Tamandua tetradactyla: one gene and its partners. The protein of the gene in region 1 interacts with the protein of each later gene in a biochemical or structural test. Links are inferred from orthologs where the notes say so. Each region holds a gene or a part of one and is shown on either strand. Other genes may lie near its edges. The genes, in order: RELA, PRKCZ, CEBPB and SETD7.

What was found.
Region 2: of the proteins of RELA (region 1) and PRKCZ, one has a biochemical effect on the other in vitro, tested with the Homo sapiens proteins (2 studies listed by BioGRID). The link is inferred for Tamandua tetradactyla from reciprocal best matches to the Homo sapiens genes RELA and PRKCZ.
Region 3: the proteins of RELA (region 1) and CEBPB form a complex in vitro, tested with the Homo sapiens proteins (2 studies listed by BioGRID). The link is inferred for Tamandua tetradactyla from reciprocal best matches to the Homo sapiens genes RELA and CEBPB.
Region 4: of the proteins of RELA (region 1) and SETD7, one has a biochemical effect on the other in vitro, tested with the Homo sapiens proteins (3 studies listed by BioGRID and IntAct, with this or other methods). The link is inferred for Tamandua tetradactyla from reciprocal best matches to the Homo sapiens genes RELA and SETD7.

The regions. Positions count from the first base shown.
Region 1 is NC_135335.1:8,858,746-8,866,344, reverse strand, and holds the start of RELA (transcription factor p65), read right to left. Parts: upstream 3,007-7,599; 5' UTR 2,917-3,006; coding exon 2,910-2,916; intron 2,340-2,909; coding exon 2,313-2,339; intron 2,218-2,312; coding exon 2,063-2,217; intron 1,900-2,062; coding exon 1,751-1,899; intron 938-1,750; coding exon 846-937; intron 502-845; coding exon 370-501; intron 1-369. UniProt on the Homo sapiens protein: NF-kappa-B is a pleiotropic transcription factor present in almost all cell types and is the endpoint of a series of signal transduction events that are initiated by a vast array of stimuli related to many biological processes such as inflammation, immunity, differentiation, cell growth, tumorigenesis and apoptosis.
Region 2 is NC_135328.1:222,906,020-222,912,862, forward strand, and holds the start of PRKCZ (protein kinase C zeta type), read right to left. Parts: upstream 3,017-6,843; 5' UTR 2,949-3,016; coding exon 2,902-2,948; intron 1-2,901. UniProt on the Homo sapiens protein: Calcium- and diacylglycerol-independent serine/threonine-protein kinase that functions in phosphatidylinositol 3-kinase (PI3K) pathway and mitogen-activated protein (MAP) kinase cascade, and is involved in NF-kappa-B activation, mitogenic signaling, cell proliferation, cell polarity, inflammatory response and maintenance of long-term potentiation (LTP).
Region 3 is NC_135327.1:2,604,229-2,611,397, forward strand, and holds CEBPB (CCAAT/enhancer-binding protein beta), read right to left. Parts: upstream 2,418-7,169; 5' UTR 2,142-2,417; coding exon 1,086-2,141; 3' UTR 514-1,085; downstream 1-513. UniProt on the Homo sapiens protein: Important transcription factor regulating the expression of genes involved in immune and inflammatory responses. Also plays a significant role in adipogenesis, as well as in the gluconeogenic pathway, liver regeneration, and hematopoiesis.
Region 4 is NC_135348.1:28,466,780-28,474,301, reverse strand, and holds the start of SETD7 (histone-lysine N-methyltransferase SETD7), read right to left. Parts: upstream 3,011-7,522; 5' UTR 2,802-3,010; coding exon 2,762-2,801; intron 1-2,761. UniProt on the Homo sapiens protein: Histone methyltransferase that specifically monomethylates 'Lys-4' of histone H3. H3 'Lys-4' methylation represents a specific tag for epigenetic transcriptional activation.

The DNA of each region.
Region 1 (7,599 bases):
TCATGCCCCATGTTGGCAGGAAGATTTTTACCCCGAAATGCCTAGCCTGTTTTCATAGATGGAATACCAACCCCGTCCACACACATATATCCCCTTACCAGTGGGAGCAGAGCCTGTCCCCTCCAGCCCCTCATCACAGGATACTGAAAATGCATCTGACTCCCTGCCAGGCCTGGAAGCTGCACCCTGAGGGCAGCTCCAGGTCTCCTCTGCCGTGTCTCCTAGCCAGCCCCCAGTGGGGCACAGAGATGACAAATGCACCCGTTGACAGACAGAAGCCCGAGCTCCATCCCAGGCTGTACCCACCCCAACCTTCTTCCTCCTCCCCAGACCCATCTCTCCCTTGCCCACAGCTCCCTGGTGACTCACGGTTGTCAAAGATGGGATGGGAGAGGACGGGCGGCAGGCGGAGTGGCCTGCCTGCCGGGTCCCGCACTGTCACCTGGAAGCAGAGCCGCACAGCATTCAGGTCGTAGTCCCCTCGCTGCTCTTCTATGGGGACTGCAGAAAAGCAGGTGGTCAGGAGAGCCGGGGGACAGGGCTGGGGACAGGGAGCTCTCGGCGGGGAGGGCTGATCAGGGGCATGGGAAATAGGAGGAGGAACTCAGAGGAGTAGGAAGAGAAGGTTCTAGACCCATCACTGGCTCTACCTGTCACCCTGATGCCATGCCCCTCAGTGCTCCCAGTGGTAAAATGGGAGTGTGCACTGAACGGGCAGCGACATCCCGTGCATCCTGTGAGTCTTGGCCAATGAGGGAGAAAGGCAGGGAAGGTGGCCTCAGGAAGGTAATGGAGGGTAGGGGTGCTCCAAACAAGCCCTTGGCCTTCGCACCCTTACCCCTTACCTTGGAAGGGGTTATTGTTGGTCTGGATGCGCTGGCTGATAGCTTGCTCCAGGTCTCGTTTCTTCACGCATTGGATCCCAAGGTTCTGAAAGCTGAGTCCCCGCCCCGGTATCAGTCCTACTGTCTCCAGCAGAGTCTAGACCCTCCTGCCTTATTCAGTGTGCCCCCCACTCCCAACCAGACCATCTCTCTGTGGTCCAACGGCTTCCCATCGTGCTGCAGTAAAAACCACACTCCTGACCTCAGGCTTGACAAGCCCCGTGGTACCTGGCCCCTGCCTAGCTCCTCCAGCCTCAGGGGTCCCTTTTCTGTCTCTACAAACACACTCAACTCATTCCCACTTCAAAGCCTTTGCACTCGTTCTTTCTGCTTGGAATGTTCTCTCCCTGCTTCAGTTTTTTTCTCATCATCAAAGTCTTAGCCCAGAGAGGCCTTGCCTGACTTCCAATCCAAAGAAATAACCCCTGCCCCAGGTTATTCTTCACAGCCAATTACTTCGTTTTATTTTCATCATTGAAATGATCACTCTAACACTATCTTGCTTATTTATTTGTATATTTATTTACAGCCTGTCTCTGTCTCCTGGTATGTGAGCTCCAGGGGAGATGGCTGGTTTGTGGTTTTTCTTTCTCAGCACAAGCAGTGTAACACCAAGGGACCTGCTCTTTCAGCCACAGAGATGATTAGGGCCCCATTCCTGCCCCAAGGAGCCCACATCTGCTGGAGGAATGAACCCACAAAAATATTTTCAAGACAAAGCAAGTCTGCTTTGCAGACCTGGGGACAGAGAAAGGAATAAGGAATTCTGCCCTGTGTATAGAAAGGAGTGAGACTGTCACAGCTACACGAGACCCTCCCATCTTCCCGTCATCGCCTCCTACTCCCAGGTCCTGCGGGGAGTTCACCTGTGGATGCAGCGGTCCGGGCAGAGCTCAGCCTCATAGAAGCCATCTCGGCAGTCCTTCCCCACAAGCTCGTGGGGGTGAGGCCGGTGAGGGGGATCCTTGGTAACCAGGGAGATGCGAACTGTCCCTGGCCCTGTGTAGCCATTGATCTGTCCAAAGTACAGAGAGCACCTAGAGGCCCAAGAATTCCAATCCCACCTCCCAGACACAGAGGGCACAGAGGCCTGAAGGGAGACCACTTCCGCAGCCTCTCCCTAGCGCCCAATCTGTGTTCCCCACTCCACTTCTGGGAACCAGTGGCTGGCTGCTGACCTTGATGGTGGGGTGGGTCTTTGTGGTGTCCGTGCTCCGCTCGCCTGGGATACTGCCCGCTGAGCGGCCCTCGCACTTGTAGCGGAAGCGCATGCCCCGCTGCTTGGGCTGCTCAATGATCTCCACATAGGGACCAGAGGCCTGGACTGGCTCTGCTGGGGAGATGCAGGCCACTGTCCCCACTGCCCCTCACCCTCTCCCCCCCTGCCAACCCCCACCTGGAACCATTGAGAAAGGACAGTATACTTACCTGAGGGGAAGATGAGGGGGAACAAGTCTGAAAGGGGAGGGAGACAAGGGTCAGCAAGCCACTTCCCATCCTCACCAGGTTCCCCTGGAGTGAAACTGAGTCAGGGCCTGCTTTCTAGACTCTGTAGGGAGACTATGGGGTGGGGTGAAGAGGTCCAGAGACATTTGTTTCCTGAGGGAAAACTAGGTACGGTGTCCTCCTTTGACTAAGGGAAACTAAGTCAAGGCCTTCTCTACTTTCATAACCAAAATTAAGAGGATGCACTCCCCCACCCCTCTTCCTGAAAGGAAACCTGAGTCAGCTACATTCTCCTCTAACAGGTAAACTAAGTCAGCGCTGCCCCCATGGACCCTGGGGGGAACCTGTGTCAGGGCCCCGCACACCCACCCCCACCCCCACCCAAGACGGAAACTGAGTCCAGCCCCCCCCTTCCACCCAGAGGGGAAACTGAGTCAGGCCCCTTCACGCCCGGCCCGCCCCGCGTCACCATCCGGCCGGGCCGCTCCCTGCGTGGCACCCGCCCGCGCAGGAATGGGGGCCAGGGGGGCACGGAGACTCCCACCGCGGGGCCCCCGCGGGGTCAGAGGGCGCCCTCACCGTCCATGGCCGGGGTCCCGGGGGCGGGGCCGGGGTCGCAGCTGGGCCCGCGGCGCGCGCGCTACAGCCGAGCCATTCGCCAGAGGCGGAAATGCGCCGCGCGCGCCCGCCGCCGCGTCACTGCCCGGAATCCGGCCGCGCCTGCGCGCTACGTCACCGCCGCCCCGCGCGGGGGCCCGGGAGCCGGGTGCGCGCCTACCGGGGGGCGAGGAGGCCGCGCGCCGCCGCCGCCGCCGCCGCCGCCGCGCCGCGCCGAGACCCGGGTCCGAGAGGCTTCCCGGGGAGGGCGCGGCCGCTCCGCTCGCTCCCGAGTCCCGGCCCCGCCTGGAGGGCGGCCGGGCGATTACTCACGCTGTTTTTTAGGGGATTTCGGGGCCCCCCTCCCGCCGCTCGGGGGAGGGCGGTGATGTCACCGCGCCCGGCCTGGAGCGCGGCCAGGGCTGCAGGGCTGCGGCCGCCCGTCCCGCGCCGGGAAAGGCCCGGGCCTGCTCGGCCCCCGAGGCGCGCGCTGGACTTGACCCGCGCGGCCCCTGAGCACCCAAGGTGCCTCTCGGGGGTTGTACCTGCAGAGGCACCTGCTAAGTTCCTGTCCACCCCAAGCAGAGGCAGTGGAGGGAAAGGAGAGTGGCCGGGCTCCCCCACCCCACGGGCCGGGACCCCGGGGCGCCCAGGGGGCAACTGAGGCGCCGAGGGTCGCGTCGCCTCCCGCGGGCGGCCGCGGTCGAGTTAGGCCAGGGCTAGTCGCTTCTCCGGCTCAAGTGCCTCGGGGACGATGAGTGGGCGGGAGACGCCCGGAGCAGGCTGCCTAAGTCCCCGGGGGTCCCCTCGCACCCGTAGGGGCCCGCCTGCCTTCCCAGAGCTCCCAGCTTGGGGGCAGCTCAGCCATCAGTCAAGCCATGCCATTGTCATGCCATCGCCCCCCTCCAAGTCCAGGCCCAAAGCGCATCCTTGCAGGGAGGGGAAGGGGCTGGGGTTGGGGCGCCCTCCCCACCCCCCAGGTCCTCCCTCGCCCCCCCGTCCCAGATTGAGGACGTTCCAAAGCAGGCGGTGGAGCCTTCTCCAGATGGAGAAAAACTTATTTTCTTTAAATGGGTTCTAAATTCGGGAATCATTTGGGAATTGAAAAAGACTGGAAATTCTGACTTGCTTTCCCAGGCTCTGAAAAAACAGGAAGAGAAAAGTGAAAATGAAGTTGCCACCCCTCCCACTCATTTCGGTTTCTCTTGCGTCCCTGATTAGAAAAGTCTGTTTTTTTTTGTTTTGATTTTTTTTTTTTTTTGCGGAGGCAGATTTCAGGTTGAAGAATGGATGAATTATAATCTTTACTTAATGACATGCAATCATCATTGATTTAGGCATGATCTTTTATTTGATTTTTATATATTTATACTTTTAAAAATAGTACAGTGAAAACCATCATAAAGGATTCCATGCATTAGAATAACTTTCCAGAAACCTACAACCTTCAAATGGGTCCCTGGACCAGATAAATCCTGAAACCTAGCTAGAGGGCCCAGTTCAAATAGAGTCAAGAGGCTACTCTGGAAGTGGTTCTTACACAAGCTTCAGGTAGACCTGCCAACCCCCAGCCAGGACCATTTCAGCCAATCCTAAAGAACACCCAGGGCAATTTATAAGATTCCACAATGGTTCCATGCACTAGAGGAACTTTCCAGAAATCTAGAACCTCCAGGTGGGTCCCTGGTCCAATTAAGTCCTGAAACCTAGCCCAGCCTCTCCAGAACGTCAGATAGTTCCATCTCCCTACCCCACATTAGTGACAGACCCTTCCAATAGCAAAAATTTAGAATTGCCCTAGCCCAAACACCCCTAAAGAGAGGTATGGAAAGATCAAAGGTGATGGTGGAATTATACATAGAAGATAGGATTTAACAAATGAATATGAGTGATGAATCATTAAACTGATATCTATTTTAGTCTCCAGTATTTTATTTTTGCATGGGCAGGCACCGGGAATCTCCAGTATTTTAGAGCAGCTAGAATTGAAAACCTAAAATTGTGAAATTATAACCCGTGTCAAAGTCTGAAATATGTTCTATAACTAATTGTGGTGCTGTGCTTTGAAATTGATAGCTTTTTCGTATATATGTTATTTTTCCCAAAAAAAAGAAGGAAAAAAAGTCGATTGTGATGATAAAAAAGTATTTAAGCTCTCTAGCCGCCTATATTCTGGAGCAGCTAGAAGGAAAAAATCTGAGAGGATGGTACGGTAGCCCATGAAAAACTCTGGGGTCTCTCCTGTAATCCCTTGTTGAAGAGTGCTTTGAAAACTACTGCTTTTTATTTCTTTACTTGGTATATATGTTATAGTACACAATAAAAAAAAGTTTAAAAAGTGTGACGTAACTATATGCTTTTTACAACAGATCACCTTAAATTCAAAGGCATGAGTAGGTTGAAAGTGAAAGTATGCAAATAATAATTATTCCATGCAAATAATAATCAAATGAGGGGCAACCAAATCAATAGGAGAGCCCTCGATCTTGGGGTGCATCCCTATGAAAACTATTCCTGCAAAGGGTAGGCTAAACCTGCTTAAAATTAGGCCTAAGAATCATCCCCAGAGAACCTCTTTAGTTGCTCAAATGTGGCCGCTTTCTCTAAGCCAACTCAGCAGGTGAACTCACTACCCTCCCCTCTACATGGGACATGACTCCCAGGAGTGTAAATCTCCCTGGCAATATGGGACAGAAATCTCAGAATAAGCCAGGGCCCGACAGCAATGGATTGAGTAAGCCTCCTTGACCAAAAGGGGGAAGAGAGAAATGAGATAAAGTTTCAGTAGCTGAGAGATTTCAAACTGAGTCGAGAGGTTATCCTGGAGGTTATTCTTACACATTATATAGCTATCCCTTTTTAGTTTATGGTGTATTGGGCAGGCACTGAGAAAGGCTTGTTTGGATGCTTTTAATAAACAAACTATTAAATAAAGTCTCATGAGGCAACAGGCTAAATTTGAACGCTGGCCCGGCATTTGATGATAATAAATGATTGTTATTAATATTATTTTAGGTGTGATAATAACATAGTAGTCTTTTTTCCCAAGAGTCCTGGGATATAGTTCAAAAATAATCCCTGAAATGGAGATTTCCTGGGAGTGGGGGTGGGGCTGTCAGCAAAAAGGTAACAGGAGCAGCCATGAATTCTAAACTATTGTAATTGGATGATGAATCCATGGAAACTTGTTATGCTATTCTCAAACTCTCGTGTGTATTTACATTTTATACTAAAAAGTTGTCTTTTTTTTTTTAATGACACCTTAAGGAGAGTGAAAAGTCAAGCTATGAGCTGGGAGATAATATTTGCAGCACAAGCACCTGTCGAAGGCTTGGTGTAAAGAATGCCTACAAATCGAAATAAAAAGACAGCCTAATGGTAAAATGAGGCAAAGGCATAAACAGACATTTTACAGAAGAGGAAACACAAAGGGCTAATAAACATATGGGAAGTTTGTCAAACTCACTAGTAATATGGAAATGCAAATTAAGATTGCACCCAGATTCCATTTTACAACCATTTGATTAAAATGAAGTCTGACAATAAATCTTGGAGACAATGTCAAGTGGAGGAGGTCTGGTACCACATTGCTACTGGAAGTGTAACTTGGTATCCGCATTGTAGCATTAGCTTGTATCATTGGCTATTTGCATATTCCAGGACCCAGGAAGTCCCTTTTAGGTATACACCCAAGAGAAACTCTTGGATATATAGACAACAGGAGACAATCCCAGGAATGTTCTTAGCAACACTGTTTATAATAGCAAAGCACCGCAAACCTGAGCGCCTATCCTCAGGGTGAATAGATTCACAAGCTGTGGTATAGCTCCGTAACAGAATAGTATACAGTCATGAAAAGGGAATGAACTATGAAACGCATAAATCTTAGTCCCATAAGACTGAATGAAAAAAGTACATAAACAAAGGGAAACATATAATATGGTGCCCTCTTCATAAAAATAAAAGTTAGCAAGCCCAAACAATGTAATATAGACATGCATATATAAATGGATATTTTTTCTTTAAAAACATAATCAAGAGAATAATAAATACAGAATTCTGCACGGGCATAAAGAAGGCAGGTACAGGTGATGAGCAGGGGGTTAGGTATAAGTCACAGGGGAGTGTATCTATGCTCTCGAGGTCTGCAGCAGCTACACTGGTTTTCTTTTTCTTTCTTTCTTTCTTTTTTTTTTTTTTTAACTTTTTTATTGTATAGTATAACATACATACAAAGCAAAGAAATAAAAAAGCAATAGTTTTCAAAGCACTCTTTAACAAGTAGTTACAAGACAGACCCCAGAGTTTGTCATGAGCTATAATATGATCCTCTCAGATTTTTCCTTCTAGCTGCTCCAGAATATAGGAGGCTAGAAGGCATAAATATTTTTTTTAGCATTACAATCGACTTTTTTTTTTATGAAAAATAACGTATGTACAAAAAAGCAATAAATTTCAAAGCACAGCACTACAATTAGTTGCAGAACATATTCAGAGTTAGGTTTGGGTTACAATTCCAATATTTTAGGTTCTTCCTTCTAGCTGCTCTAAGATACTGGAGACTAAAACATATATCAATGTAATGAGTCAGCATTCATATTCATTTGTTAATTCCTATATTCTCTGTATAACTCCACCATCACCTTTGATCTTTCCATACCTCACTTTAGGG
Region 2 (6,843 bases), on another chromosome or scaffold:
GGCCATCCACCCTTGGCAAAACTCACCCTTAAACCTCTACCCCTGCAAAGCTCACCCCTAGGTCACTCCCCCATGGTGCCTGGGCTATGCCACCCAGCTCTGAAGGGGACATGAGGTGCCACCCCCAACAGCACGGCTCCCACTCCAGGGACAGCAGCGAGACAGAAACTTCACTCTCCCAACCCACCTGCCTCGCCAACGGCCCTCAGGGCACGTGTGCACAGCCGGAGAATCCGAAGCACTGAGGGGGGTGGGCTCCCCAATATGGGGCGGCAAGGGGCCCCATATCCTCAGAGCAGGTGACCCCCCCAAAACAGCCCCCTGGGATGGCAAGAAGGGGGTGCACTTAGTGGGCTACGCAGGAGATGGGTGCACGACACCATCCAACATGTGGGCGAGGCTGGCCGCCCCCACAGGCCCGTGCAGACACGGCCCCACCAGCGGACCACCAGCCCCTCCTCACACACCTCCCCCCTGCAACCTGCTCCTCCCACCACCACCCCAAGGTCCAGGTCAAAGGGCACTTCCCTGCTCTTACCTGCAGCCTCTTCTCTGAGTGACCACCTGGACACCTCCGGAGGGCCAGCAATGGTCACCTCGGGCTCAGCCCACTCTGGGAAACGGCTCTGCCAGCACCTCTGATGGCGTGACCATGACTTCCAGCCCAGACAAGTCGGGGTACCTCCAGCTCCACGGCCCCACAGCCTAACACTTCCACCGTGCAGGCCAATGGTCCCACAGCCTAACATTTCCACCCTGCAGGCCAATGGCCCCACCCCCCGAGGCATTCTGCCACTCTTACCCCTGCGGTCAGCAGCCAGGAGGCTCCCCACTCAGGCCCCACACGGCACAGCAAACACCACCCCACGGGGCCCTTGTGCCTGCTGCCCCTTCCCTGTCTGCTCTACCAGTCACTGGCCCCTGGGCGGCGACGCTGGGGCAGCTGCAGCTCTATTGAGGCCTGCTGAGCAGACAGGAGCTCTGTCGAGGCGCGGGCGCCTGTAGGCCCCCCACTGCCACAGGTCACAGCACCCACCCTGGCTGCGGCGAGGTCTTCACGCAGAGGGGCCCTTGGGGAAAGTTCCAGAACAGAACTTTTCTGCACAGGGTGAGAGCCAGCCAGCGGCCATTCCTGGGATGCGGGGACGCTGAGGAGCTGGCCCCAAGGTGCTGGACAAAGCAGGCCCTCCCCCTGGGCAGGTGGTGGACACCCTGCACCCCTTCCCACCCCCGTCAGCCTCTGTGGGAGCGGGCACAAAGCCCATGAAACACAGGAGGGGCCCTCGCCCGTGGGGTGCTAGAGAAACCCCGTCTTTGCTTTTGTCTGAAAGGTCCAGTGACCATGCCTCCGGGCAGCGAGTGTCCTCTCAGGGGTGGCCTCTGAGCGCTGGGATTTCACCAGCCCCACCCCCACCCCGATTTCACCAAGCCCTAGTCTTGGGGGGCCCTTCAGGAATGGCCATGGTGGACTGGGTCTCCTGGGGGCCCAGTCCCGAGCTTCCAGGCACTCCCAGGGAGGGGCTGGGCTTAGAGAAGGTCCCTCCGTGGGCCAGAGGGGCTGGAGTGGCAGAAGGGAGGGAGTCAGAGGGGAAGGGAAGGGTGGGGTGGAGGCAGGAGGGGAGGGGAAGAGGAGTGGGGGCTGGGCAATGGCGGGAAGAGGGAGGAAGAGGAAAGGTGGAGGGAAGGAAGGGGGGAGCGGCCTTATCAGGAGTGAAACTGGAGGCAGCAGGTTGTATTACATCTGTGCTGCCAGTAACCAAAACGCTCCCTCGGGGACCAGGAGGTGGGGACTCCCCATCCCCCCAGCACCCTCGGATCTTCCCCTGAGCCCCCCCTTCTGACCTCCAACTTCCACCTGACCCCCACTGCTTGGCGCTGGAGGTACCTGCTAGATTCCTCTTGGGGGTCAGCTGGAGGGTCCCCACACCCCAGGCAGGGGGTTTCAAATGCCACTTGTGCAATTTGGAGGTGGCCCCTCCCAGCTGGGGCGCCAGCAAGTAGCGGCACTGTGGGGGCGCAGAAAGCCAAGATGTTCTGCACCCCTGAACCCCAGCCCACACCCCACACACCCCTCCTCCCTCGGGGTCCACCACTGACTCCCCCAACCACGGGTCTGCAGGGGACCTAGGAGCAGGCACCCAAGGCTGCAGATGCTGTGCTCATGGGGTGGAGCCCGAACCCGCCTCCGGGAGGGAAGGGGTGGGGGGCGCTGCCCTGGAGGAGCCGCGGCCTCGCGAGGCGGCCGCCCCCCACACCGTGCCCCCACAGGTGCTGAACCAACGGGGAGCGCCAGGTCCCAGCCGGGGTTCCAGCCGTCCTCGGCGCTGTCTGCACCCGCGGGCGGCGAGAGCGGGAGTCCCGCGCTCTACCCGGGAGCCCCGTCATCTGGTCACGAGCCCCCTCCACCCACCCCGGGCTCGCGGCCCTGAGACCAGCGACGGTAAGAGTCCAGGCTCCCGACCACTGCACCCCGGGAGGTGCCCACTCGCCCCATTCACAGACAGGGAGATGGAAGCCCGGGCGCGCTTCTCCCTCAAGACTCCGGGACCGGCCCAGCTCCCCGGGGCCCTCCCCCCCGGCCCCCGCCGCAGCGGCCTGGCGCGGCTTCTCCCTCTCAGCGGAGCGCCCTAGCCGGGCGAGAGGGCGAAAGTTGAGAAACTCGCTTCTTCTCCAGCTGCCAAAGTTTGCCCAGCTCCATGGAGCTGCGTCCCCCGGTCCCGCGACCTCCCTCCCGGCCGCGCTGCCAGGACCTGCGTCAGCGGCGACCCCGGTCCGCCCGCCCCGCCCCCGGCCCCGGCCCCGGCCCCGGCCCGGCCCGGCCGCCCGCAGGCTCGCGCGGCCCCTCCCGGCGAGGGCGCGTCGGGCTCCCGGGGACGCGGAGGGCCGGCCGGGCGCGCTCACCCGCTGTAGTGCGCCTTCAGGCGGACGCGCCCGCCGCTCCCGTCCATCTTGGGGCCCGGCCTGCTGGGCGTGGCGCGCTCGGCCAGGCCGTCCTTCAGGGCCGCGTCCCGGACGCGCGGGCCCACGGCGCGGACACCTGCCGGACACCTGCCGGACACCTGGCGGGACACCTGACGGGGCCGGGGCGGAACGCGGCGGGGAGCGCGCGGGTGACCCGCGCCGGCCCGGCCAACTCCGCGCGAACTTGGGCAGCGGGGCGGGGCCCGGAGAGCGTGCGGCCAATAGGCGGGGCGCGGCGCAGCCGGGCGGGAGGGGGCAGCACCTGCGGCCAATGAGGGCGCCGGCGGGGCAGCCACCTGGGCCAATCCCCGACGGGACCCCGCGGGCGCGGCCCAATCGCCGTGGCGCGGGGCGGACTACCTGTCGGGCCGCCGCCGCCTCACCTGCGGCCAATGGGAGTGCTAGGCGCCCGGCTCTGTGGAGCAACGCGGGGGCGCGGGCGGGGTCTCGGGCGGGGTCTCGGGGTTCCCCGCGCTCGCCTTGTGCGGGAAGCGGGCTGGCGGCAGCGGCCCTCAAGGTGGAATGCGAATTCCCGGGCTCCCCCGTCCGCTAGCCAGTCCCGAAGGCCCAGGGAACCGACCCCGACGGCGCTGGACCCCGGCGTCGAGCCGCTCATCGTCCACGGGCGGGAATCGGGCGCGCAGCGAAGCCCCCGGGCCCGGCGACGACCTGAGGCAGAGGGGACTGGATGGCTCGGCCAGGTTCGGGCTGGGCGGGTCTCCCGGGCGCGGCCCCCCCACACGTCGACCTCCAGAATCCCGGAGCCCGTTGCAGGGAAGGCTTATCTGCGCCCGCCGGGCAAGGTTGACCCCGAAACGCGGACCCCCCAAAGCCTTGGGGTCACCCTTAACTCCGCCACCCGTTACACCCCGTCCTCGGCGTCAGCCCCGCCGGCCCAGCTTGAAGAGATCCCGGGATCCAGCCCCTGCCGCCACCCGCTGACCCGCGCTTGCACCGACCTGCAGCAGCCCCCAAGTGTGCTGCCCTCAGCGTGGGTCAGGGGGCCTCCAGGATGCCCGCGTCTCCAGAGGTGACACCCCTGGCCCTGCAGGCGCCCGGGCTCTTGTCTCTCCTCCGCAGCTTCCCCACCTTCTTGCTGCCCCCACCCCTGCCCCCTTGCCTCTGCTGTTCCCTCTGCCAGGAGCGTCTCCCCGTCGGCTCCAGGAGGCTGCTGCCCACACTTCTGGGGGGTCTGTACCCCACCTTCCTGCCAGAGCATGGTGGCTGTCCTCTCAGGGCACCCACAGTTAGTGGGGTGGAGGGGAGCAGAGAGTTACTGAGTGAGGGGCAGTGTGCCAAGGGCACAGGGATGAACAGCGAGCAGCTGCGTGTGCTGGCCAGGGGTGCTGCCACTGCCAGGCAGGCCACCCAGCTTGCCCCTGACTGGGATGGGGAGGAGCAGCGCCACACTCGCTGGGGTGGGAGGTGGGCCGTGGGTTCCCGGTCACTGGCTTCAGCCGGCACCTCCCCACCTGCCAGGGGGGACCTCTGGCCTTGAAGCTGGTCCCCAGGCACCACCAGCCCCCATCACAGCAGGGGAGGGCTGGAGCAGGCCCCTCACCCCCCCTGCTAGCTGGTTTAGGGGGCCCCCCCGGGCTGAGTTTAAAGGGGAGTCCACACCTGAGCACCACAGCAGAAGGTTGAGGGACCCCGAAGCCTCTCTTCCGTGCGGGGGTCAGGGCAGGGCAGGGAGACGAGACTCCTTTCTGGGCGGGAGGCTCCCCTTCCCTTCCCCCATCCTGATATCTTCTGGCTTGAGGCCCCCTGTGGCCCCTATGCCTCCCCTGGCCATGTCCGGCCCAGAGCCTGGGTGGGGTGGGACGCTGCGCCCCACAGCTCTGGCAGGGGGGCTGGGTGGGTCGCGGGGGGTAGGGTGCACCTGGATGAGCTCCCTGCGGGCTGGAGGTGCCTCCCCACCCTTCCCTCTGGCCCCCTCCTCCTGCTGCAACCAACAGGGTTTGGTAATGAAGCCCCCACGGCCCCCCCCAGAGGGACCCAGGGTGAAGCCCAGGATGGATGGGCCACAAGCTGGCTGCTGGGGGGCAGGCCGCTGTGATTGCCTCCCCTCCTCGGTGCCCACACCCCAAAACCGAGCCTCCTGCCCTGTTGGAGGGGGGTGCCCGTCCCCTCCCTCCCCCTCGCCTCCCACCCCGCCCCAGAGCCTGTCAGATGGCATCGCGGGCCCATGCCCAGGCTGTGAGGTAATGGCCGGCCTCCCGGCCCTGGCCCAGGGTGACCCTTGGACCCGGGGAGGCGGGACAGGGGTGCGAGGGTGGGGCGCCAGGGGCGGAGGCTCTCTGCTCTCACGCTCTCAAGCCCTGTGCTCCTGTGTTTTCCAGTCTGTCCTTAAAGACCTCGTGCTTTCCGAGCCACAAACGCCCATTATTTCAAAACAGAAAAAAGGCATCCTTCTTTTTTAAGGGTTGTAAAAGTGGCACAAGCTGATCGTGCAGCTTCACCACCTGGGAGGCTTAGACAGGAAGCCCCCTGCCGCCCTCCCCTCCTGGCATGCCGGACCACCGGGGGTCCTTTCCTGTCCCGCCCAGCCCGGCCCGGCCCTTCCTGGAGGTGCAGGGCTGGAGCGGAGGGGTGGGGGAAGGTGTGCCCTCCCCCCACGGGCCTTGGCGTGCCCTCACAGGGCTCACCTTCAGCTCTTCTCTGGGGGGGCCCTCCAGGGACCCCGCGATCCTTCAGGCGAGAGGGTCGCTGGGCCTCCCTGGGGGCTTCCAGTGTCCCTCCCTGTACGGGGTCCGCCCCCCGCCCCCTGGCCCGGCGCTTCGGGGTGCGGCTCTGCCAGAGGGCCCAGCGAGGACCCCGTGGGCCGCAGGCCCGAGCCAAGGCACAGGAAGAGCCCAGAACCGCCGCTGAGCAGTCTCTGGCCCGGGCGCGGGTGGGAGCAGATGTTTCCTCTCTGTCATGATCACGGGCTGGCGCGGGCAGCCCAAGTGACCGCTCACACTCGTCCCTTCGTCATCTCCGTGGGGGGGCTGGTGGAAGAGTCACCCATTTTGGGGCCGGCTGAGAGCCAGCACGTCCCAGGGAGACATAGAGCCACGGCTGGGCCACGTGTGGGGAGCCCCGGAGGGCACTGCGGCGGGGCAGAGAGGCTGTGCAGGCCTGTGTCCCTCCTGGGGGTGGCCAAGGGACAGAGGAAGGCCCCACCCTCCTCGTGGCAGGGGTCCTGCTTGGTGGGAGGCGGGAGAGGAAGGTCGGGGCCTCGGGGCTCCGGGTGTGTGTGTGTGTGTGTGTGTGCACATTTGTGTGTGTCTGTGTGTATCCATATGTGTGGGTGTTTCTGTGTGTGTGTTGGTGTGTGTGCGCATCTGTGTTTCTGTGTGTGCATTTGTGTGTCCCTGTGTACACATCAGTGTGTCTGTGTGTTTCTGTGTGTGTGTAGATGTGTACCTACTGCACATCAGTGTGTACTGTGTGCTTGTCTGTGTGTACCTGTGTGTGCATCAGTGTGTGTATGTCTGTGTGTGTGTCTGTGTGTATGTATGTGTGTATATGTGTGTATCTATATTTGTGTGTGTCAGTGCATACCTGTGTGCATGTCTGTGTGTTTGTGTGTCTGTGCACGTCTGTGTGTGTCTGCACGTCGGTGTGTGTCTGTGTGCATGTCTGTGTGTGTGTGTGTCGGTGTGTACCTGTGTGTGCGCACGCATCTGTGTGTGTCTGTGTGTACACTGGTGTATACCTATGTGTGCATCTGTGTGTGTATGTGTGTCAGTGTGTACCTGTGTGTGCATCCGTGTGTGTCTGTGTGTGTTGGAGTGTACCTGTTTGTGCATCTGTGTGTGTCTGTGTGCATGTGGTGTGTATCGTGTGCATGTGTGCCAGTTTCTAGGTTGTCTCCTCTGGGCTCCAGGCCTGTGAAGGTCA
Region 3 (7,169 bases), on another chromosome or scaffold:
CTCACAAATTTTCAAACAGCGCACCCCACAGCACCTTCAAAGTCTGCCCCTTCCTCCTGCAGCCACTGGCCGCCTGCCCCGCCTCCAGACAGTGTGTGGGCCACAGACCTCAAGGACCCCCCCAAACCCAGGTTTGCTGCCCAGGACCAAGTTGACTCCCCAGAGACCCACCCCACCCCACCCCCCAAGCAGGGCTCCTAGCCACGGGTCCTCAGCACCCAGGGGCACTGAGTCACTCCAAAATGCCTGACCCAGCACTCCTCCCCCAGGCCGGCGCCCCCATCTCCAAGCACAGACCTTGGGGTGCAGCAGGGGAGGAGAAACCCCAGCTGCCACACCCACACCCAACCTCCAAGAAGCCAAAAATAACATCAGCAGCCCCCTACACGCACACAAGGACGCCCCCACAGCAGCAAAGCACAAAGCCAAATCAAATAAACCCACAAGAAAGATCAAAACGTGAATAATAATCCAAAACCAACTACTGCCCCCAAAAGGCTTTTTCAACTCGTCTCCAAAAAAAAAAGTTTATTAAAAGTGTCTTACTTAATGCTTGAAACGGAAAAGATTCCCAAAATATACAGACGCCTCTTTTCTCATAGAAATAGAATTATTTTTTTTTTATAATACAAAAAAAAGGCCAAAAAAATAAACAAACCAACCAACAAACATCAACAACCCCGTAGGAACATCTTTAAGCGATTACTCAGGCCCGGCTGACAGTTGCACGTGGGTTGCGTCAGTCCGCGGACACACGCCTTCAGCCATGTTTAGGGCGATTGCATCAACTCCGGAGCCGCGGGAGAAGCAGAGTTTCTCGTTCATCCGGACACACGGACGTCTCCCCTTCCAGGAGGGCCGGGGGGCGGGCGCCCCGTCTGGGGGGCGGTCGCTTTGGCCAAAAAAAAAAAAAAAAAAATAGAGAGAGCTAGATATAATAAACTAGTAAAACGACCGGCGGCTCCCCGCGCTGCCCAGCGCCCCAGTGCCAAAGTTCTGCCGGCGCCGCCCGGAGCGGGGGCGGGCGCGCGGGCGCTTCCCGGAGGCGCGAGGCTGGCGGCGGGGGGCCGCGCGCGGGGGCCGCGCTAGCAGTGGCCGGAGGAGGCGAGCAGGGGCTCGGGCAGCTGCTTGAACAAGTTCCGCAGGGTGCTGAGCTCGCGCGACAGCTGCTCCACCTTCTTCTGGAGCCGCTCGTTCTCGGCCGTGAGCTCCAGGACCTTGTGCTGCGTCTCCAGGTTGCGCATCTTGGCCTTGTCGCGGCTCTTGCGCACGGCGATGTTGTTGCGCTCGCGCCGGATCTTGTACTCGTCGCTGTGCTTGTCTACGGTCTTCTTGGCCTTGCTCTTGACCTGCGAGGACGCCGGCGCGGCCCCCGGGTAACAGGCCGCCGGGGGCGCCTTGGCGTCGGCGGGGCTCGGCGTGCCGGGCGGGCTGGACGACGAGGACGTGGAAAGGCTCCCACTGCTGCCGCTTGGCACCGCCTGGTAGCCGAGGTAGGCGCGCAGCGCGTACGGGAAGCCCGCCGCCATGCCTGCGGCGCCGCCGCCCGGCGCTCCGGCCTCCTCCTTCCGCTTGCAGTCCGCGGGCTCGAAGCCCGGCTCCGCCTTGAGTTCGGCGGGCGGCGGCGGTGGCGGTGGCGGCGGCGGCGGCGGGTGCAGGGGCGCGAAGCAGCCGGGGTGCAGCGCGCTCTTGGCGGCCCCCAGGCGCCCCAGGCTCACGTAGCCGTACTCGGCAGCCTTCTTGCAGTTCTTGCCCCCGTAGTCGTCGGAGAAGAGGTCGGAGAGGAAGTCGTGGTGCTGCCCGGAGGAGGCGGGCGCGGAGGCGGGCGCGGGCGGAGCCGCCTCGAAGGTGTCGGTGGCCGTGGCCGGCGCCGAGGCCTGCGGCGCGCCCAGCGGCTCCAGGTACGGACTGAAGTCGATGGCGCGCTCGTGGTCGCCGATGCTGCCCAGCTCGCCGGCGGGGGGGCGCGGCCCGGGCCTGGCCGCGGAGGGCGCGGGGGGCGCCGCGGAGGCCGCCTTGACGCCGTACGCAGCAGCCAAGCAGTCCGACTCGTAGTAGAAATTGGCCACTTCCATGGATTTAAAGGCGGGCGGCGGCGGCAGCGGGAGACATGCTGGGTCCCAGGCCACCAGGCGTTGCATGAACGCGGGTGCCGGGGGAGGGGGCCCGGGGCTGCCCGCTCCGGCCGGCCCGCAGGTGGCGCGGCCTCCCGGTTCCGAGCTGCCGCCGCTGTCGCTGCTACCGCCGCTGCCGGGGTGGCCGCTACTGGTGTGGGGGCTGGCGCCTGGACCCTCGGATGGGTCCCCTTCCCAGTCCCGTGCTCGGCTCTGACTCGCTAAAGTTTCTCCCGAGCCCGGTTATTTATAAGGCGGCCCATGGCAACGGCTGCGTCACGCCTGGCGGCCGCCCCGGCCCCTCCCGCCGCCGCCGGGACGCGGAGGCCACCGCCGCAGCCGCCCGAGACCCCCGGGAGGGCAGCGGCGGGGCGCGGCGGCCCGACCTGGGGCCGGGCACGCCCCTTCGGGGGGCTCCCGGCCGCGGGGGGCGGCCTCGCCCCCTGCCCACCCGGACCCCGCGGCCCCGCGATTGGGAGCGAGACGGGGCGGCGCGATCCCGCCCCCGGACCGCCCCCTCCGGGCCGAAGGCCACGCTAGAGGGGGGCGGAATCCGGGGAGGGGGCGCCGGGAGCGTCTTCCCCCGCTACAAACGCGGCGGCCGCCTGCCCCCTGCCGGGAGACACCGCGGCCTCAGGCTCGCCCGCGCGCTGCTGCGGAGGAGCGCGCCCCGCCGGCCCCGGAGACCTCGAACCCCGCTCGGGCCCTGGAGAGGCGCCCCCTCTCCACCGCCCTTCCCCGGGCGCCTCCCCGCCCCCCAACCTGCTCCCCCCGCCCCCCGCCCCGGCCCCGGCCGCGGGAAGGAGCCGGGGCTCGCGCCGGTGGCTGCTGCTCGCGGCACTGCGGCTGCTAGGACCCGGCTGGTGGGGTCCCCCCAGCCCCGCCCACTCCACCTTCCCGTCCCGGGATACTCCACCTCCACCTGGGTACTGGGGAGGGGGTGCAGGGGATGCTGTGCCACACACTGAGTGACCTTGGAAGAGTCGCTTCCCTTCTCTGAGCTGTCCTTTCTTTGATTAATTGTATTGTCCCCACCCCAGAGTCCCCAAGATAAGGCTGCTCTGAGCCCCAGAGCGGACACCAAGAGGGGAAGCCCGGAGGGGGCGTGGCACGTGTCGAGCCCCCAGCCTCTTGTCCCCCATTCACCCCCTAACAAGGGCCCCCCCGTCCAGCGCCCTAAGACCTTTTTGCCAATCCCAGAGGCCCAAAAGCCACTGGTTCTGAGGCTGGGGGTGGCGGTGGTGATCAGGTCGGGCCTCGCTGTGGGCCACGTGGGATGGAGCGGGGTCTCTCCGCATTTTCAGGGTGCGCCTGGTCTGGCGTTCACATTTTCACCCAAGAACCCTGGGGGAGGGCGCTTTGCTGCCCCCACTCCACAGTTGGAGAGGTGGTCCCGGCGGGGTGCCCCACTGAGGGGCTCAGGGGCCCCTCACCCTCACTGACCCTACTTCTGGGCCTACCCCCTGCCTCTCCCAATCCCTGCCGCCCCAGCAGAAGCTCGGCCTGCCTGGGGCTGACCCCCGTCCCACTGACCCCAGCCCTGGCCCAGCGGCGGGCATTGCTCAACTTTAGGCGTTATCTGCTGAGCTGAGTGACCTCCGCCCCCTAGAGCTGGAGAAATGACATCTCTGAGCGCCCTTGGCGGGTGGGGGAGGGGGTGAAACATGGGCCTGCTGGCTCCCTGTGCCTTCCCAGCAGCCTCTGAGCCAGGGAGGGATCCAAGGCCCCGCGGCTGGCGGTGGTTTCCCCAGAGCCGCCCAGCCAGGCTCCTGAGTGCAAATTGGTACACTCAGGCTCAGCTTAGGGCCACCGCCTCCGAGAGGCCCTCCCTGCTGCATCCCCTGGTAACCTTTCACAGCCCTTAACTCCAGCCGCCATTATCCTAGTAGCCTATTTACTGGTCTTCCTGGATCTTCCTCCACCCCCACCCCCCCACCCCCACCCCCACCCCCCCTCCCCCAAGACTGTCTGCAGGCAGTGGCAGCTTTGGCTCCTGGGCCCAGCATGCTCAATACTGCCCCATGAGTGAGGGCTTCTGCCACGTTCTCTGGAACCTAGAACACTGTTGCCCAGCTCTGCCCAAGGCAGTTCCTTCTTATTTTCAGGTCCCACCTCAAAGTCACCTCTGAAAAGCCCTCCCTGACTTCCTGGTCCAAAGCCCCCACCTCTCATCACTCCTCTCACCCCTTCCTGTTTCATTTCCTTCACCATTCTGGTTACCTTCAAAATTCTCTCACCTGCCCATCGTGCTTTCTGTCCCCGCCACCTCCTCCCCATGGCAGCCCCCTGCAGACCAGGGACTTTTGTCTTTTGGGTCACTGCTGTCCCCCAGTGTCTAGAACCATGCCGGGCACACAGTAGGTGCCTAAGAAATGCAAATGAATGAATGAAGGGGACTGAGAAGAAGCAGGGGCCTCCACTGGCCGGGCAGGGTGGCATGTGGCAGGGGCTCCTCTCTCAGACCCCTGGCCCTCAGGGTTCTGGGGAGGTGCGGGGCCTGGAAGGCCTCCAGCTGGTTGGAGGTTTACTGTGTGTCCTCAGGCCAATCTGCTGCCCTCTCAGAACCACGTTTTAGGCTCCTTGCATATACTGGCTCATTTAATTGTCCCCATAATTTGTAGGATGCAGGTTGACAGAAGGGAACACCTCCAGTTAACAGAAGGGAAACTGAGGCCCAGCAAAGCTAAGGGTGCCTATTCAGGGTCACATGAAAGGGTGGGAAATGCTGCAGTCTTTCCAGTCTCACCTTCCCCTTGGGTTTGTAGTAAGCTGTAACAGGTTGCATGATGCGAGCCCCATTTTCTGGATGGAAAAACCAAGGCCGAGAAGGGTGACCCAGGGTCACACAGAGAGTTAGGGGGCAACCTGGGGACCAGCCCCAAAGCACTGGACTCAGCCCTCTCGGGTTTCTTAGCCCGCTGGCCTCCGTGAAAAACTTCACCACCAAAGCCCTTGTTCCCTGCCTCCCCCACCCACGCCGCTGAACTCGTGGCAGCTCCCACCGGGTCGAGCCTGCCCTGCGGGTGCCCTGGTCAGCTACACCACCGCACCGCTCCACTGGTCCCCCAGGAACGGGGGGCAGGAGGACCCCCACCGGCACCCACCAGGGTGGCTGTGGGGCCGGGGGACCCAGGTGGAGCCCCCCCAGCGCCCTGCCCAGCTGCGCCCTGCACCGGCTTTGTGGGCAGCCATGGCCCACCTCAACCCTGTCCGTCAGGCCCCGCGGTGGGTGCTGGTGTTTTGTGTTTCTTAGTGGATTTGTGGCCAACATTTAAAGTCCAGCAGACCTCACATCAAAATTCAAATTTCCAGCTACACTTTTAAAAGCAGAAGTTGTGGGCAGGGCCCCACGGACGCCCGCCTGACGGCCTCCACTGCCTTGAGACCCCTCCCCCCACTCCCTTGGCTCCATTTTCAGGGGGAAAAGACCGAGGCTGCTGACCCAAGGGGACCGGCCGTAGCTGTGAGGGAGAAGGGGAAAGGGTTTGCAAGGGGCTCGGACATCAGCAGGGGGGTGCGGGATGCAGCTGGGGGGGTTGCCGCTAGCTAGGGGCTCAGTGGGGCTGGGGCTGGTGGGCGGGGCCCTTCCCTACGCGGCACCTTGGCCAGGCCTGGTGTCCCCTCCGGGCCTCGTCCCTCACCTGCACGGGGGCTCGCTGTCCTCTGCTGGACCTTGGGCCTGCCGCCCGCGTGGCCAAATCAGATCTCTAACCCCCAGAGGTCACAAACAGGTACTGGGGACGCAGGCAGAGGTCAGGGAGGCCCCAGGATCGCGAAGGCTGATCCCCTGATTCTAGTGTCCGTGATTTTCCCCCACCATGCTCATCTCTGCGGCCTCAGTTTCCCCATCTGCCAAGCGGGGTTCCCTCCCTGAGGGCGGCGAAGCAGCCAGCGAGACGTGCCTGGGTGCGTGCTGCCCCCGGGTGGCCGCCTCCGGAACTGCAGGGGCGGCGTGCCGGCTCCGTCGCCGGGGCCTGGGTCAGAGTCAGTCCAGCGGGTGACCGATGCCCACAAATGGGCCACTGAAGAAATGAACATGCCCACCGGACACAGGCGAGGGGCCCCTGAAATGTGGCCAGCACATTGCATTTAATTTTTATGAACTTGACCTTAGCCTCGTGGTCCGGGCTGAGTCCGGCCAGCACGTCTAGAACAGTCTCTAAGGTCTGTCGTTAAGCGGGTAGAGCCAAGAGCAGGCTGTTTGACGATACAGATACTCCCACGGGAAGGGGCACGAGAAACTGGCACCAGTGGAGGCCTAGGGCTGGGGTGCTCTGGATATTGTGTAAAAAGACACCCCAAAACTTAGGGGCTTGAAGCAACAACTAGTTCACGTGCTCCTGGCCCATGGGCAGGCACTGGGACAGGGCACAGCGGAAGCGGCTCCTCTCTGCGCCGTGGGGTCTGCAGGCGGGAACACCCAAGGGGGCTTCTTCGTCCCAGGCGTGGCATCCACGCAGGACAGCTCCACAGCTGACACTGCCTGGTCGCACATCTACATCGGCTCCTTGGCTCCTCGGTTCTCCTTTCCCACGGGGAGTTTCTTCCTCGCCACGTGGCTTCACCTGCAGCCCCTGCACATGTGGTGTCTCCACAGGAATCTCTCACATGGCCTCTCCATAGGGACTCACGTGGCCTCTGCACTGGTGCTTCTGCATGTGGTGTCTCTGTATGGACTTCACGTGGCCTCTTCTTATGGCTCTCTGAGTGCTCTCTCCATGTGACCACAGCACGTGGTCTCCTGGCCACTGTACACCTTACATAGCAGCTGACATCCCCCAGAGCACAGGAGCAGAAGCTTCCAGGCTTTCTGAAGGCTTAAGCCTAAAACACGCAGCCCCACCTCTGTCCCATTCTGTTGGTCGAGGGGAGGGGCTGCACATGTGGTTACCTGGGGGCCGAGGCTGGGCGGGAGGGAGACCTGCAACCCCTTATGATGGGGGAGGTCACCATGGACACGTTGGACGTCGCTGTCCGTTGGAGTCCAGGAAGCTGTCTGCCGCAGCCTTGTGTCCACACCTCTGCTTCGGGTCATCCCCCCGTAACGGCCTGCCT
Region 4 (7,522 bases), on another chromosome or scaffold:
ACTGTGTTTATTCAAATCTTTTCTCACGGAACTCTATCATAACCAACCTCTAAAGAGTTACAGTGATAATGAAACTGGTGTAATATTTAACTGCTCTTCCAAACTCAGGTACCATCTCTTTCATATACTTGACTCGCCCATTAAAATTTTTATAATGTAGAGAGACAACTGGTATGGTGCAATGAAATTCTGGAAGCTCCAAGCTTGTCTTGTCTCCTAGCTGAGTGCCCTTGGATTAGTTCTTAACTTCTCTATGGTCTGGTTCCCTCTCTGTAAAATTAGGATCCTATTAGTGCCCATCTCATAATAGTAACCGGACAGAAAATGTGTGAAACCACACTGAGACTGCACATCATAAGAACTAAACAATAATATAATTATTTTATTGATAATAATAGCTACGACAATGAACAGAGATTCTGTTTAGTATGTTCTCTACTGAGAACAGAGGTTCTGTTCACGGAGAGAGGTAGGCTACGTGGTACTTACACAGCAACATCTTCAGACTAGGTTCTCTTTAGGAAAAAGGAACAAGTAGTTTACAACATTCCCCCATGCACGTGTCAGTTGGTGAGAAGTAAAGTGCATTATACCCAGCAGTAAAAAGCCCAAGAGTGGCTGGAGAAAAAGTTGGGGGGTACAGTTTACTGCATGCTGGAGCTTGAGGGTCTCCCAAGGACTCTCAAAGACTCTGTGTTACACTTGTCATTATATTATTACAGGGAGGCACAGCTGAGTGACCACGTGTCCCAGACTGCCCCCACATTCAAGCTCTACCTCGTTGTCCCAGCATAATCATTCATAGCGCCTCTCTCATTCTCAATTTGTTTTTGTTTGTTTTTTAATTTCTTTTTTTTTTTGAATGTTCTAATTTGGACAATTATATATATGGTCCCTCTATGTAACTAGTAAGAACCTTCCAATCCACTGGACAATCTCAGCAACAACAATGCTACATTTCTAAGGCTACATTTCTAAGATTACATTCTGCAAATGAGGCAGAGGACCCTGGGACAACTTGACTTTGTTTCTAAACAGCTTCAAAGGGGAAGATGGTTTAGCCTGGGGAGCATCTCCAGTGCCCAAGGGTTTACATTACATTTTCACAAGTAAAATTAAACTTCCAAGGACAGCAAACCCTTACAACTTGAGAAGAGCCTTTTTCATTTTTCTTTCCTATCAGGGAGGCACAAGAAGCCAATAACTTTTAGATTCTAATAAGGCTTCCTATGGGTCAATTCAATGTCTCTGCCACCCAATAAACGCCCACATTCACTTTATTTATTAGAGAGGTAAATAGCTCTGTGGATTCACAGCATTGTGAATCTTTTTAATTAAAAAATTCTTTAAGTTGTCCTGGAAGCTAGATGAAGTAAGAAATTTTAATAGTTACATTAGAATGACATCTTTTAGAGAATTCAGAAATATTATTCTACTTAATTTCATCCTAAGACCTAGGAAACACTGCAAAAGGAGTTCAATTATCTTATATAAAAACATAAAAATCGATTTACTCTCAATGAGGAAACAACTATGTACTCGTGTGTATTAGCACAATGTCGCCACTTTGTTTTTCTTTACTGTTTGTTTTTCTTTACTTGTTTACACAGATTAGACAGAAGCCAGATACAGCCGATAGCTAAAAATTATTTGCTTAGACGCCTAGTTTAAAATATTCTGGAATAATACCACACAACATTGCAAAACATCACGACGTCCTGTCTGGGGTAGAACCAAATAAATAGGCTAAAGAGTATTTTCCAATATTCGCTGTTACAAAATCCTAACAGCTCACGACACAAACAACGAGATTGTATAACGTTCCACAAGGATTTCAGAACCGGCCAAAAAGAGGTGGAGAAACTCAGCAAAACAAAGTGGCGAGAAAAGTCGGGGGAGGGGCGCAGGAAGGGAAGGGGCGGAGAAACACGACACCGAGGCAGTGATATCACACACAGCCAACTGCATGGAATTCAGAAAGTTAAGTGTCACCCAGCAATTTCGGTCTGGGCTTGAGACGCGCCTGCACGGCGCGGCCGCCCGGGGTTGGGAAGCAGGCGGGGGAGGGGCGGCTGGCCCGGGTTCGCGCTCGGGGCAGCAGAGGGGAAGGGCCGGTCGCCTCCCGGCCCGCGCGCGATCGAGCCCCGGGTCGGGCCCGCCGTCCCTTGCCTTGCGATGATTTCATCTTCCCCGAGGAGCGCCCGCCCTGGCCGGGGCTGCCACGTGCCTGGCCCGACCCAGTGCGCTGCGCCAGGGGACCCGACCCGGCCGCGGCCGCTGCGGGGCGTGGGGGCGAGCGGAAGGAAAGGGCTGGCCACCTGCGAGGCTCGCCGCCGTCCTAAACGGGGCAGTGGGATTGCTCGGCGGGGACCACCGCTCTTGGGGGGCCCTTCCTGCGCACCCTCAACGCCCCCCCTCCCGCCCCCCAGACGCGAAAGGAGGAAGCCAGGGGAGAGCGCTCGGCAGGTTTTCGCAACTCCGAGGCGACTGCAGGCTGCGGCCGCCGGGCGGGAGGGAGCAGCCGTGCCCTCCCAGGGGGGCCCCGGCCCGGCCGAGTCCCGGGCCCGGCCTGCGCCTGCCGCGCCCCGCCGCGCAGCGCGCGCTCCCGGCGGCTCGGCCGTGGCTGTCCGGCCCCCGCCCGAGCCGGGCAGCGGGCCACCCGCCGAGCGAACCGCGGCAGCCGCGGGGCCCGGTGCCGCGCCGGCCGCAGCCCGTCACTCCTCCCGCTGCGTGTTCCCCAGCCTCGGAGAAAGGCTTGTACCTTCCACCGCCTCCTCCACCATCTCGTCGTCGCTATCCATGGCGACTGGGGACCCTGGCCAGCTCGGGGTCGCGCGGCTGCCGCCCGTCCCTCCCGGTGCTCCCGGCGGCTGAGCGAGCGCTGGGGCCGAGCCCTGCGAGTTTGGAGGAGGAGGAAGAGGAGGAGCAGTCGGGCTGGCTGGCACTCCCTCCCCCTACAGCCCTTTCAATTTCTTGGCCTTCAGCTGCTGCGGCAGCAACCGTCCCCCCTCCCTTCGCCCGCTGGCCCCTCGCCCTCGAGGCCCCGGGGTGCCGCTGCGGCCGCTGCCGCTGCTGCAACTTTCTCCTGCGATCCCCCCTCTTTGTTAGCGAGCAGCTGATCCGCTGACATCACCTCGCGCCGGTGCGCTCCCTCCCTCGCTGATTGACGGTTCCCGGTCCCTTCCCAGAAGTAAGGCTCCTGGAGACCCGAGGCGCTCGCGGGCCGCTCCCCCTGCGCCGCCGGGCCGAGCCCCGGGCCCCTCGGCGTCTGCCTTTGGCTTCTGCGCGACTTGGCGAGCTCCGAGCGCGCCACGCGGTCCTGGGCGCCGCGGGCTTCTCCCCTGCACGTGCGGCCCTCCGGGTCCCCGCCCTCGGGGGCGCTTAGAGCTCCGGACCCCCAGCCGGAGCAGGGGGCCAGGTTGGAAGTTGGCCGTGCAAGGGGTGCCCGCCGCCCCCCACCTCGGGACAGCCTCCGAAACGCAGGGGAAACAAAGGAAGCGTTTCGGACGCTCTGGCGCCTCGACTTCCTCTCGCCCTCTCCCCCCACTTCACCCCATTTGCCCTCGGAGCCGCGCGAGGGCTGCACGCTCGGCAGGGCAGGTGTCCCACGACACTGCTCCCCAGACTGGAGCGGGTGCCATCCGGAGCGACTCCGCCGGCCTGCGGGGACCACCCCATCCCGGCCAGGCCCCGCCCTCCTCGGGACCCCCGAGCGCCTCGGATGATTCGGAGGCGCGTCCAACCCAAAGGGCAGTGGGGTCTCTTCCAGGCAGGAAACAAGCCGCCGCGCGGGCAGGTGCCTCCCCGCCGCGGTGGGGATGGAAGATGGACCGCCCGGCGGAGCTAACGAGGAAGGACCCTCCGGCTCCCGCGCCCGCCCCCCTCGTGGCCCTCGCGGTACGGGTGATGGCCCCAACTGTCTCTCCCAAGTGTCAACCACCCCGCAGGCTGGGGCGTCTTCAATGGAGAAGACCAGTGGGCACCCGCTTCATAACGACAATGTCATTATGGCGCTGTCTTGGAAAGGTGGCGGTAAAGGGCGGCCGTAAATAGCTGGTTAAATGGGTGCAAATGTACGCAGTGTACCGTGGAATCCCAGCGTGCAGCTCTGGGCATCTGCCAGCACAGCTACCGCAGGGGCGCAGGGAGGGAGGTGGGAGAGCAAAGAAAGAAAGTTCCATTTTGTTTTCTGGAGGATGAGTGAGACTTTGGGGATTTCAAAATACTTCCAGCACGTGGAAGACCACGCCTTGCTTTTAGCTCTCTGCTTAAATCACAGTTTTGTTTGTTCTGTTTTTTTAAATGGAGTATTGCGTATTTTTGTTTTGTTTGAATTCATTCTTTTCTCTGTGAAAAAGGGAATAATGCCGAGGACTTTTGTCCCCATGCACGGCTAGGCATTTCAGTCCCTTTTGGCTGTGTTAGAAAGACAGGGAAGGGCCCTGGACCAGGGGGTCCACCCTTGCCAGCCTGAATTCCTCCCGCAGGAAGTAAGAGGCTTAGCGTCCACCCCCCCCACCCCCCCCCACCCCCGTGAGCTCCCTCCAGCTTAGGGTATACCACTCTGAGGTCCTTTGGCTTAGGTTAGACTAATCTGAGATTGGCTGGTTTTAGCTAGACGGCTCTGAAGCCCTCTGCATTAGGCGACACTGTCTGAAGTTCCGCGTGTATTTATCACCTCTCCCTTATGTATTACACTTGTGTGCAAAAACCCAGCAGACGCTCGTCTTTCTCCCTAAGTTTCCAGTTTATTTTCAGGGGCAAAGAAGATGCCAAAAGCTAAAGGAAGCAGCAAAAAGAATTCCTTTCTTCAAGGAGGCCAAGGCAAGGGGACGGTAGGTTGGAAGAAATCTCCCTCCAAACACGCAGTTGCACCACAGAGCATCCGGCCCATGGTGGGGTCGGCGTGGAGCGATTATTATGTCACAAGCATCCTGCCTCCATATTTAGGTTCAGAGGCAAGTTGTGCAACCCCTCCTAGGTGCTGTGAGGTTTTCCCAGCAGGTACTGTGTGTTCGATTGGCCAAGTGTTCCCTTTTACTTACCGCTTTGGAAACACCTGTATATGGCCCTCCTGGCTGAAGCAGGCCACCGCTGGATCTGCAGAGGGAGACGGGGATTGAGGTCTTCCTGGGAGAGTGGGCCATGGCAAGAATTACTTCCCTCACCATTCCTTCCTGCTGGCTCCCTGCCCAAAGCTTAGGCACAATGTTTTCATGACTTCCTTAAGACACACTTGCATTTTTACAAATCACTTTGCGTCTGCATTTTCAATCTCTCTCTCTAGACTGAGTCTTATTTATAGCTCCAGAACCCAATCCAGTGCCTGGTACAGAGAGAGAGTTAAGCACTGTCAGTGAGGATTCAGCAGATAGGAATATTCTGTTTTATATAAACAGAGCTGAATCTTTCTCACAGACCGGTTTCTCTTCCTGTGTTTTGGCAGAGCGCTTTGTTTCAGCTCAAGCCTGAGGAACATTTCTGAGTTGTTCTACTTTCCCACATCGACTGGCCCCAGATTGGCTTCCATCACATTCTTTCCCACAGTTTTCTTCATTGACAGCTCATTTCATAAACCCTCTTTCCACTTGGCTTCCCACCATTTCCCTCTGTCATCGTCTGTCCCCACCAGTGTGGTCATGGGCTGGAAAATCAATAAAACTCTTAATCAGCAGCAATGTACGGCAGTGGCGCAGCGGTGGCCGCAGCGGTGGCTCAGCCCCTAACCCCGGCATATCCCAGTGTGCCAGAACAGGCCCTGCCAGGGAGAAAAGGCACCTGCACAGGACGTCCAGGAACTCCTGGGGGTGGGCGTGCCTCCATGCACACACCGAGCAGTGACTTTTCCAAGCTGCCTCGGCTTAGCGTCCCTGCATCGAAAGATGTGTCCCCTCTCTTCACACTCTATTTGGGAAACGTAAGTCCCCCTTCGCCCACAGCAAGCAGTCAAAATACTAAGTTGATTTCATTCATTTTACCACCCTTGTCTTTCCCTGGAGAAGGCTGGTGCTTACTTACAAGACTGATATAACTCTTGTGGTAAATATGTTTTTACAGGCTGGATATGCGCCTTCCTACGTTTAGGGGAAACAATTCTGTCAGCTTATCGCTGTGTATATTAAGTACATTGCAGAAACCTGGTGGGTGTAGAACTTCTCCGTTAGTGTTGGCTGCTACTGACCCCTCATTCTGCACTACTGGTAGGGGCGGGAGGGGGCCGGGCAGACTTCCGGGTTTCGTGTTTCCAGGAGGAAGTACTCGCCAGGGGCTCAGCCAAAGGGAGTCTCGGGGGGCTCCCCCCCCCAGGTAACTGGTAGATCAGCGGCTGGTGTTCAGGTTTTGGTTTGTTCCGTTTGCTCACATCTCCATTAAGGAGACGAGGCAAAATGGATGAAGGAACTTTTAAATAAGCATCAATTCTTATTTTGGCACTGCTCACTTCTTAGCCAGCTTCTCCCCATTCCCCAAATTCACCAGTTTGAGTTTTCACCTTATCTGTTTGGGTTCCACCAAACACTAGCTGTGCATTGGGCAGTTAAGCTCTCTAGGCCTTAGTTTTCCCATCTGTAAATGACGAGGTTGGGCTACATACTTTCTAAGCCCAAACTTTCTCTGTCCACCTTTCCTGGGGAAAAGCTAAATGGAGCATGAAGAGCCCCAGGGTCCATGTATAGACAGAGGAAAGGGGAAGACTCCAGGGCAACTCTGGCAAACTGGATCATCTCAGTTTTTTAAAAAAATATTTTTACTGATAGATCTTAACATGCCAACGTTGCTTGTTTTCCAAACATGGTGTACAATCAGTGGCTCACAATATCATCACATAGTTGCGTATTCTTCACCATGACCAATTTTTAGAGCATTTGCATCAGTCCAGAAAAAGAAATAAAACAGAAAAAAGAAAAAACTCATACATACCATACCTCTTACTCTTCCCTCTTATTGACTACTAGTATTTCCATCTACCCAATTTATTTTAACCTTTGTTCCCAGTATTGTTTGTTTATTTTTATCCGTATTTTTAACTCATCTGTCCATACCCTAGGTAAAAGGAACATCAGGCACAAGGTTTTCAGAATCACACAGTCACATTGTAAAAGCTTTATCACAATACAATCGTCTTCAAGAAACAAGGCTACTGGAAAACAGCGCAACAGTTTCAGGTACTTCCCTCTAGTACTTCCCTCTAGCCACTCTAATATGCCATAAACTAAAAAGGGATATTTATATAATGCATAAGAATAACCTCTTGATTCTGTTTGCAATCTCTCAGCCACTGACACTTTTATTTCTTCTCATTTTTCTCTTTTCCCTTTTGGTCAAGAAGGTTTTCTCAATCCCTTGATGCCAGGTTCTGGCTCATCCTGGGATTTCTGTCCCACATTGCCAGGGAGAGTTACACCCCTGGGAGTCATGTCCCATGTAGGGGTGGGGGGAGGGCAGTGAGTTCACTTGCCATGTCAGCTTGAAGAAAGAGGTCACATCTGAGCAACAAAAGAAGTTCTCTGGGGGTGACTCTTAG